Schizosaccharomyces pombe: one gene and its partner. The protein of the gene in region 1 interacts with the protein of each later gene in a biochemical or structural test. Each region holds a gene or a part of one and is shown on either strand. Other genes may lie near its edges. The genes, in order: its3 and opy1.

Evidence for each region.
Region 2: the proteins of its3 (region 1) and opy1 form a complex in vitro, tested with the Schizosaccharomyces pombe proteins (one study listed by BioGRID).

Annotation. Positions count from the first base shown.
Region 1 is NC_003424.3:4,070,136-4,074,064, reverse strand, and holds the start of its3 (1-phosphatidylinositol-4-phosphate 5-kinase Its3), read right to left. Parts: upstream 1,930-3,929; 5' UTR 1,690-1,929; coding exon 1-1,689. Other genes in the region: protein Poz1, read left to right, coding at 3,309-3,414, 3,452-3,798, 3,893-3,929. UniProt on the Schizosaccharomyces pombe protein: Catalyzes the phosphorylation of phosphatidylinositol 4-phosphate on the fifth hydroxyl of the myo-inositol ring, to form phosphatidylinositol 4,5-bisphosphate. Involved, together with the calcineurin ppb1, in cytokinesis.
Region 2 is NC_003421.2:944,601-948,529, forward strand, and holds the start of opy1 (protein opy1), read right to left. Parts: upstream 1,785-3,929; 5' UTR 1,661-1,784; coding exon 1,541-1,660; exon of another isoform or gene 1,260-1,540; coding exon 1,197-1,259; exon of another isoform or gene 1,147-1,196; coding exon 1,071-1,146; exon of another isoform or gene 1,033-1,070; coding exon 272-1,032; 3' UTR 1-271. Other genes in the region: ade10 (bifunctional IMP cyclohydrolase/phosphoribosylaminoimidazolecarboxamideformyltransferase), read right to left, coding at 3,232-3,929. UniProt on the Schizosaccharomyces pombe protein: Binds phosphatidylinositol 4,5-bisphosphate (PtdIns(4,5)P2/PIP2) at the cell membrane.

The DNA of each region.
Region 1 (3,929 bases):
ATTAACGACTTGTCTGATTACATGAACGTTTGAGTGAGATTCATTGCCATTAATCGAGGGCACTCGATGTTGCGACACATTTGGGTCGTAAACTGACAGAATGCTATTACGAATTTTGTCACGATTACCACGTGAAAGGTCATGGATGCCGACAAGTAAACTGTAATCCATAATTCCTAAAGAGGACAGCATATCAATATCGGCTTTGACCTGAGTTAAGAATATCTGACGCTTTAAAGGACCAAACTGAAGATGCATATTTCTGCGAATCCAATTTGTATCTTTCATTGTACACATGGGACTTTGACAAGGTTGATTTTCGTCGAGTTCCCTTCCTAGGGTGGATCCTTTGAGATCAAAAGTTTGGTGGATATCACGATGAGGTGGGAAAAGGTTGTTCATTACAACAAAATGGATTTTTCGGCCAAAGGGTAATTTTACCCTATGCAACCCATAAAATTGCGAAATCAATGTGTTCGGATTATTCTTGACGTGTTCGTAGTAATCATAAAGAATTTCACGCAAAAATTTGTGCTCAGAGTGATGGATTGTTTTAATAATGAATCGATAGTCACGAGAAAAATAAAAAAAAGAACCACTTTTCCCAGGAGAATCTAACTCAGACAAAATGTACTTACTGGTAAGAGATACAAGATAATCTGCAGCATCTAAATGAAACAGCTGCCTTAGATGTCTAAATACCCAAGGTGCATAATCTTTGAACTTAAAATCATACTTGGCGGAGGGAGTGAGTTCGTTGCCAGTAATGTCAAAGGTAAACTTGTGACGAGCAGTAAAATCAGCAGGAGTAAGCTCACGGTCCATTTTCGCTTGGCAACGAGAAACACCGACGCGAATTCCAGTAAGCATGTTGTACGCTGTAACATAGTTTTCATGGCCCTCTGAAACTCTAGTTCCAACGAGAACGCACTCATCGTCCAGTTCTTCCCTGCGACGGCGCATGTTAACACGTTTTTGTTTGACTGCTTCAGCCCAGCTAGCAGAGCCAATATCGGGGGGAATGCCATCCAAAAGAGAACCCGAGGTACTGACGTTGGTACCTCGGTCGCCGGATCTCGAGCCAGAAGGTTCAGCGTTGCTAGAATTTTTTTCGGAGTAAGATCGCTTTAGCGGCCGCTTCGCCTTCTGCGAGGAGCTGAGCGTGGAACGATCATTAGGTGGCTGCTGAGATGAGGTTACAGGGTTGGAGGAAGAGCGATCTATGGGGGCGCGAGAAGGTTGAGGAGAGGATAATTGATGCTTTAAATTTTGTAATTGGGGAGAAGAGGAAGAATTGGAGGAAGGAGGCTCGAGGGCACTTACGATGGGAGAATCTCTCAAGATACCATCAGGTACGCCAGTAGCCGTAATTACCGAATCGTTAGAAGAGGAAGAAGGAGAGTGGGCAGTGGGATTTGAGGGGAAATCTTGATTTTCCTTAAATAATGAATCGTTAGGTTCATAAATATGGGTCTCCGACCGAACTTCGATTTTGGGGTTGGTATGAAGAACATCGTGGCGCATCGTACGTTCGAAATCGTTTTTATGGGATATCAAATCCTTTTTTTGAAACGTACCATTTGGAGCAAAAGCATTCCCATTCAAATCGACAGCCTGCTTTTCATCATACGAAGGGATTTCGTTCGTTATAGAATGCGGATTCACTATGCCGTTTGAATCAATTTTCATTAGTGTTTCCTACAAACATATATGAAGAGTTAAAAATTTACTCGCCAATGGACTCCAAACACAATTTTTGATTCCGTTTTTTAACAAACAATTTGAAGACGTCAATTTCGTCGTTTTTCAGTTCCTACAAAAGCAAGTTTTTTCCCAAGTTATTCAAAATGTTTTAATTTACCGAAAAGAGCAGCTTAATTCTCTTTTTTATCAACTCTTTCACCGCAAAACACTTGATACCAGCGAAGTGTTGTTTCTACCAGTTTCTTCCCTAGATATATAAAGTCACCGGAGTTCACCGAATTGTCCGGCACATTCTCCAATAATTCGCACTAATGGCAGTAAATGGATAAAATTATCGCTTTCTGTATGGGAAAGGAGCAATCCCGAATTTACCAAGCCAAAAACTTCTGAAACCCAGTTCCATTATTGCGAATAGTCCATAAGCTTGCGATGTTTGAAGTCGTTGACAACGTCGATTTCGTTGAATGTAAACAAAACGAATCTGCTCAACGTAAACAAAAGCATCGATATGGGTGTGTTGCGTGAAGAGCTGGATGCTGTAAATCCAATTTTATAAAGGCTTACTTTTTAGAACCTCTATTAATCAATTTATAATGATTAAGCTTGCATGGATAAGTACAGCAAATGATTGAGCTATTTTGAAAATCTAAAGATTTGAAATTTCCTTAAAAAAAAAATAAATAATAAAATAAAGTTAAAAAAAATTAAAGTAAGATACACATAACGTATACTTCGTTTATTTCAAACATATCAATTTATTTTTATTTTCCAAAAATATATATATATATATATATTTAACAAAAAGAAAAAGGAAATATCCAATATTCCTTTTCTTCGTTCTCAAGTTTACTTTGAATGTCTATAATATAAAGAAGCTAGCACTGAATATTCAACTTTAAGAATCCATTGAAATTATAATCAAAGGACAGTATCTAATGTTTTTTGTCTTACTAGATAGATAATTGCTTTTCCCATTCCTTCGGGTTTTGTGCACAAGTAAATAAAGAACTTCGGATAGAATCTTAAGAGGCTTGGGTAGTAAAAACATTCAATCAGATGGATCATTTAGTTCTAGCAAATAACAAATTAGAGTAATTTTTGAGATTGAATAAGGAAAAATATCTTGGAAGAAATGATCAATCGCCTAAAGCATGTTTATTTCGTAAGCTTTTCATGTCTTAAGGCACAAACACCACCGTGATCCAAGGTAATTGGCATAGCGTTATGAAAATGAAGGACTTAAAATGGAGAGTAAAATTTATTCTTTTGTCACGCCAAAGTCGATCTTCCATTCAAATACTTTTTTCATTTGGAAATTTTGCTTACCGCTTTTTTGGATAAAGCAGTTCACTGTTTAAGGGAATAATTTATAACATTAAACAAAATACACTTCTTTAAGGAGTTAAATTCGTCTTCTGTACGATGTTCCAAGAAACATAACAGTAGACAAAGCTATTCGATCCATTCGTTTTTAGATTTCTTTATTAAATGATTTATTTTCTCTTACGGAATGGTATTCATTTTATCTCGTAGACCAACTTACATTGACTTTACCAACTTTTTATACTTTTATCCTTCGTGTATAGATTAGTTTTTTCCATAAAATGAATGAGAAGATTCGTTCACAATCTGTGCTGAATACACTAGAAACGTTTTTCATCAAGGAAAATCATTATGATATGCAGAGAGAAGAATCTTCCATTGTGAACGGTATGAAAGCCAATCTTGAAAATCATTAACCAATTAGCCTGCTTACGATATTTGGGTTATTCGAAATCAATGTGTCATGAAAAAATGCCGATATTCATGGATATCGCATTCATTGAGTATTGCTTCAATCTTTCGCTTGACCCTTCTTCATTTCAAAACCTTCCGATTACCCAAACTCAGCCGGATAGTCAACAAATTCTTTGGGAATATTCTCTTATTAGCAATGCTTTAGAGAGGCTAGAGAATATAGAACTGGAACGCCAAAATTGTATGAGGGAAGATGGCCTTGTTAAATACACTAATGAACTTTTACTTAATAAAGAAACTCTAAACAATGAAGCTTTGAAATTATACAGCTGTGCAAAGGCAGGCATTTGCCGTTGGGTAAGGACCAAATCAACGAATAGAAGACAATCTTTGTTTTTCTATTCATCGTTTAATATAAGTTTGCTAACAGATGATGTTTGATGTATTCTAGATGGCCTTTCATTTTCTAGAGCAGGAACCAATCGATC
Region 2 (3,929 bases), on another chromosome or scaffold:
AAACTGGCTCATGACGAAGGAAAAAAATCATTAAATTAGAGCAAGAAAGACACTTTTGTAACTAGCTGTGTCGATTTTCGGACATTATCGGAAATATTATTAGACAAAAAAAAAACAACGAGATAGTCAAAACATATAGAAACAGAACGGATCAACACGTATGTACACGAAGGGTAAGGGGAGTCTTATGAAAGGAAATCACAAGAAGGTAGCTAGAAAAGTAGCTGAGGAATCGTATTATGCACCAAATATTTTGATGGAAAAGCCATTTTTAACAAGCAGTAAAAGTACCATTGGCCTTGTCAATAGAAGTCTTAAGTGCAGCAACCCAGAGTATAAGTGAATCTTCGTTATCAACGCGAAATTCGATAGGTTTGTTTTGCGTAATTACGGTAAAAAAGTATTTGTGTGAGCTTTCCGGAACGTTTATTTCAGCAACATCCTGAATGTCGGCTATCGGTATCACTTTAACAGGTTTGTACTCTCGGTTCGTGTTGTAAATAGTCATACCATATCCACGAACAACAGCCCAACACTTGGACCACCTATGTAAATTTCCATGTAGCCAGTGAATGGTTCCTTGCATAAGAACTTTATTTTCATCCAAGAGTTTATAGAGATTTTGTAAGGAAGCCGAATGCCTGTGCTTATTCAGCGTATTAACTTCTTGTGGGTTGAAGGGGTAATTTGCATTTTCTTCATTGATACCTGGTGGTCTCAACTTTCCAAACTGTATCAAATCATAAAGTGAAGTACAGAAATGGTCACCCTGACCAGTTTCCAAGTCTAAAGGAGAAGTCGTTTGATTACGAGGTTCAGTCGAAATATTGTCGAAGTCAGTATCAGAGATCTGAACGTTAGGCTCGCTTTCGGTTCGAGATGAAGAGTTCGCAAGGATATAACTGATAGGATGTCTTGAAAACGGTGCCCTATAACCCGTTGTGGATCTTAGAACATGAACCCATTCCTCAGCATCCTCATTTGAAGTGGCAATGAGACGAATTATCTTTTCATTTAAATACAGGAAAAAAGCTAAACATTAGATATAAACATCAAAAATTCTAACGTACTTTTTGGTGATTTTTCTTTGTAGTAGGCAACAGCTGAAATATCCTGAGTAGGGAAAATAAATTTGGTTTTGTACTCCTTGAAGACTGTTAGCGCGTCGTTGAAATTTGCACATTTTATTCACAAACCTTTTCGTCTTTGTAAAAAGATAACTGATCTCTGCGAAGAACAGCCCATAATTGCTTTTTAGTCTAGGTTGTTAGCATCCACTACAAAAAAAACCATGAGTGCAAATATTGACTCTGAAACGGGAAGCAAATAATTGGAATATTCTGAAAATCAATTGGTCAAAGTGCTTGTAGGGTGCTGTTTGCATCATCATATCCCCAAATCAAAAGCGAACAATAAAGAATTAAGAGTACGTATCATTCACTTCTAAGTACACTTCACAAAATTAAAGAATACTCCAAATCCCTTTCCACTCAAACGTATCGTAAATATTACTCAGACAACTAAGTTAATGAATACATACAGAAGTTGCATGTCCTTTCTTTATCAACCATCCGGATTTTAAAACACGCTCAAGCTCTGGAAGCCTTCTTGCTTCATCAAGGCTAGCAGTTCTGAGATGCGATGAAACTCCTGGGTCCATTTCATCAAGCGAATAGTCAAACTAATAAACGCCTTCTTTCTTTTGAATACATCAAGAAAATTCCTTAAACTGAAAGGTGTTAAACTAGAACGATGTAAAGTCGTCCTCTATACAGATTTTGGTTAAAATCACGTTTCCTAACGCATACGTGTTAGTGGTACCAGCGACGTACATATTCAGTAATAGCGTTCATTAACGTATCGCTATTTGTCAAGTGAAATTAAAATGTATGGTAGAGAAATTTCAATAATAGAAATGATAGTACGAATAAATTGTAGCAGTAGAATTGAGAAGCCTTCTTTTTGAAAAAGGTAGTCTGAAAATATGTCATCTTTATTTTGAGAGGCATACAACCATATAGTACATGGACACAGTAATCGTGTAGAAGTGCTACATCTCGTATACTAATTAAGAATCAAAAGAACTTTTGTAAATCCTACTGTTACAGAAATTCAACTTTAGGTTGTATTGGTGCACAGTGGTAAGGGATTGTTGTAAGGACTGGCAGGATGAAAACAAAAAAGCTATTTAAAGGGAGCACTTGTTCGCTGTAACAAAAAGAAAAGCAACAAGAAAGAAATACTTTTTTAAATATTTTTTAGAGAACCACTTTCTCTAATGTAGAAAGCGTTGGTCTTTCCCATTCGGTTCGAGACCTATGAAAGCTACTCAGTAGATACTGAGTTAGTAGGGAGTAGGGTTTAAACGTGATTTTAGCATGGTTTCTTGGAATAATAATAAAAATTCCCTTCCGTCCTCTATGCCATCTTCTTTATGCTTCACTTTACGTCCAGATAGTTGATAGTTTCCGGTCTTGTAAGATGATTATTGATATGGTAAATCAATCACAATCGAATGAAAGATAAAAGAATAAGAGTATGTAACCCTTTAAGATGGGAAATATATCAAGCAAGAATGGGGTTAAAAAAAAAACAATTTTAAAGTCATTAAATCCTTTTTAATACCATTAAATAGTACTAATTTTGCTCGTGAGTAACTAAGGTCGGGTAGCATAGTTGGTTATTGCGCACGACTGTTAATCGTGAGGTCGAGGGTTCGAGTCCCTCCCTGACCGGATTTTTTATGCTTCAAATCAACTGCAGCAAAAACATACGCTCAATCAATTTAATAGAAATTTGCAAACACCCAAGAACATGTTTAACTCAGTCAGTTTACTGCGAAGCTCACATCCAAAAAGCAGGTTTGATGGCGTTTTCCTTTCTACTTCATATGTTAGCTTAGCAACCAAAAATGCTTTATTGAGCCCGTTATGCTGTGAATTTCCAAGCTTTCGAATAAAATTGTTGCATTCGTGTTAAACAATAAAAAATATTTTCCCTACTATTACTGAAATAAAATGCCTTGAGTATCGGAAATCTTTTCAAAATTCAGGATACAAAAAAGATGCCAAATTTTTTTATATTAAATCAAAAAAAGTAAAAGACGTTGAAGTCTTTATTGTAATACCTCTATTAAATGATGGTATAAACTGAGGAAACCTATCAAATATACAGAACAAAAAAAATTATATCCATAGTAATAGTGGTCAAAAATTAGGTATACAAACAAGATTAATGGTGGAACAAACGCAAGGGGATCTCGGAAAAGACCATGTTGAACTCATTAGCAGTGTCGCGAACAGCTTGATCCATGACACTACCGCCAGGTGCAGCAACATATTTGACACCGCTTTGGGCAAGACGATAGATGTTGTCAGGGAAGGGGAAGAAGGCATCACTGGCACAGACAACATCCTTGCAAGTAGCCAAAAATTCCTCCCGCTCCTTTTTAGTAAGAGGCTCGGGAATAGTCTCGAATGCAGACTCCCATTGCTCACGTTCACTACCTTCAGCAGGAACGGCATCAAGGACGTACAAGTCAATAGCGTTAGATTTCTCAGGACGCTTAGCAGACTTCTTAAATTGCATACCCAAGACTTTAGGGTGATGACGAAGCCACCAGTTATCAGCCTTATCACCGGCCAAACGGTTGCAATGAATGCGGGATTGTTGACCAGCACCAAGTCCAACAACCATACCATTCTTAGCATAGCAAACAGAGTTACTTTGAGTATACTTAAGAGCAGTGGTAGCAATAACCAAATCAATAAGAGCAGATTTGGGTAAATCCTTGTTCTTACTAACAACTTTCTCAAAAAGGCTGAAGTCAATCTTGGCATGGTTGCGATGCTGTTGTAAGCTAATACCGTAGACCTGGCGAGTCTCAATTTCGGCGGGAACATACTTGGGGTCCATTTGCAATACACAGT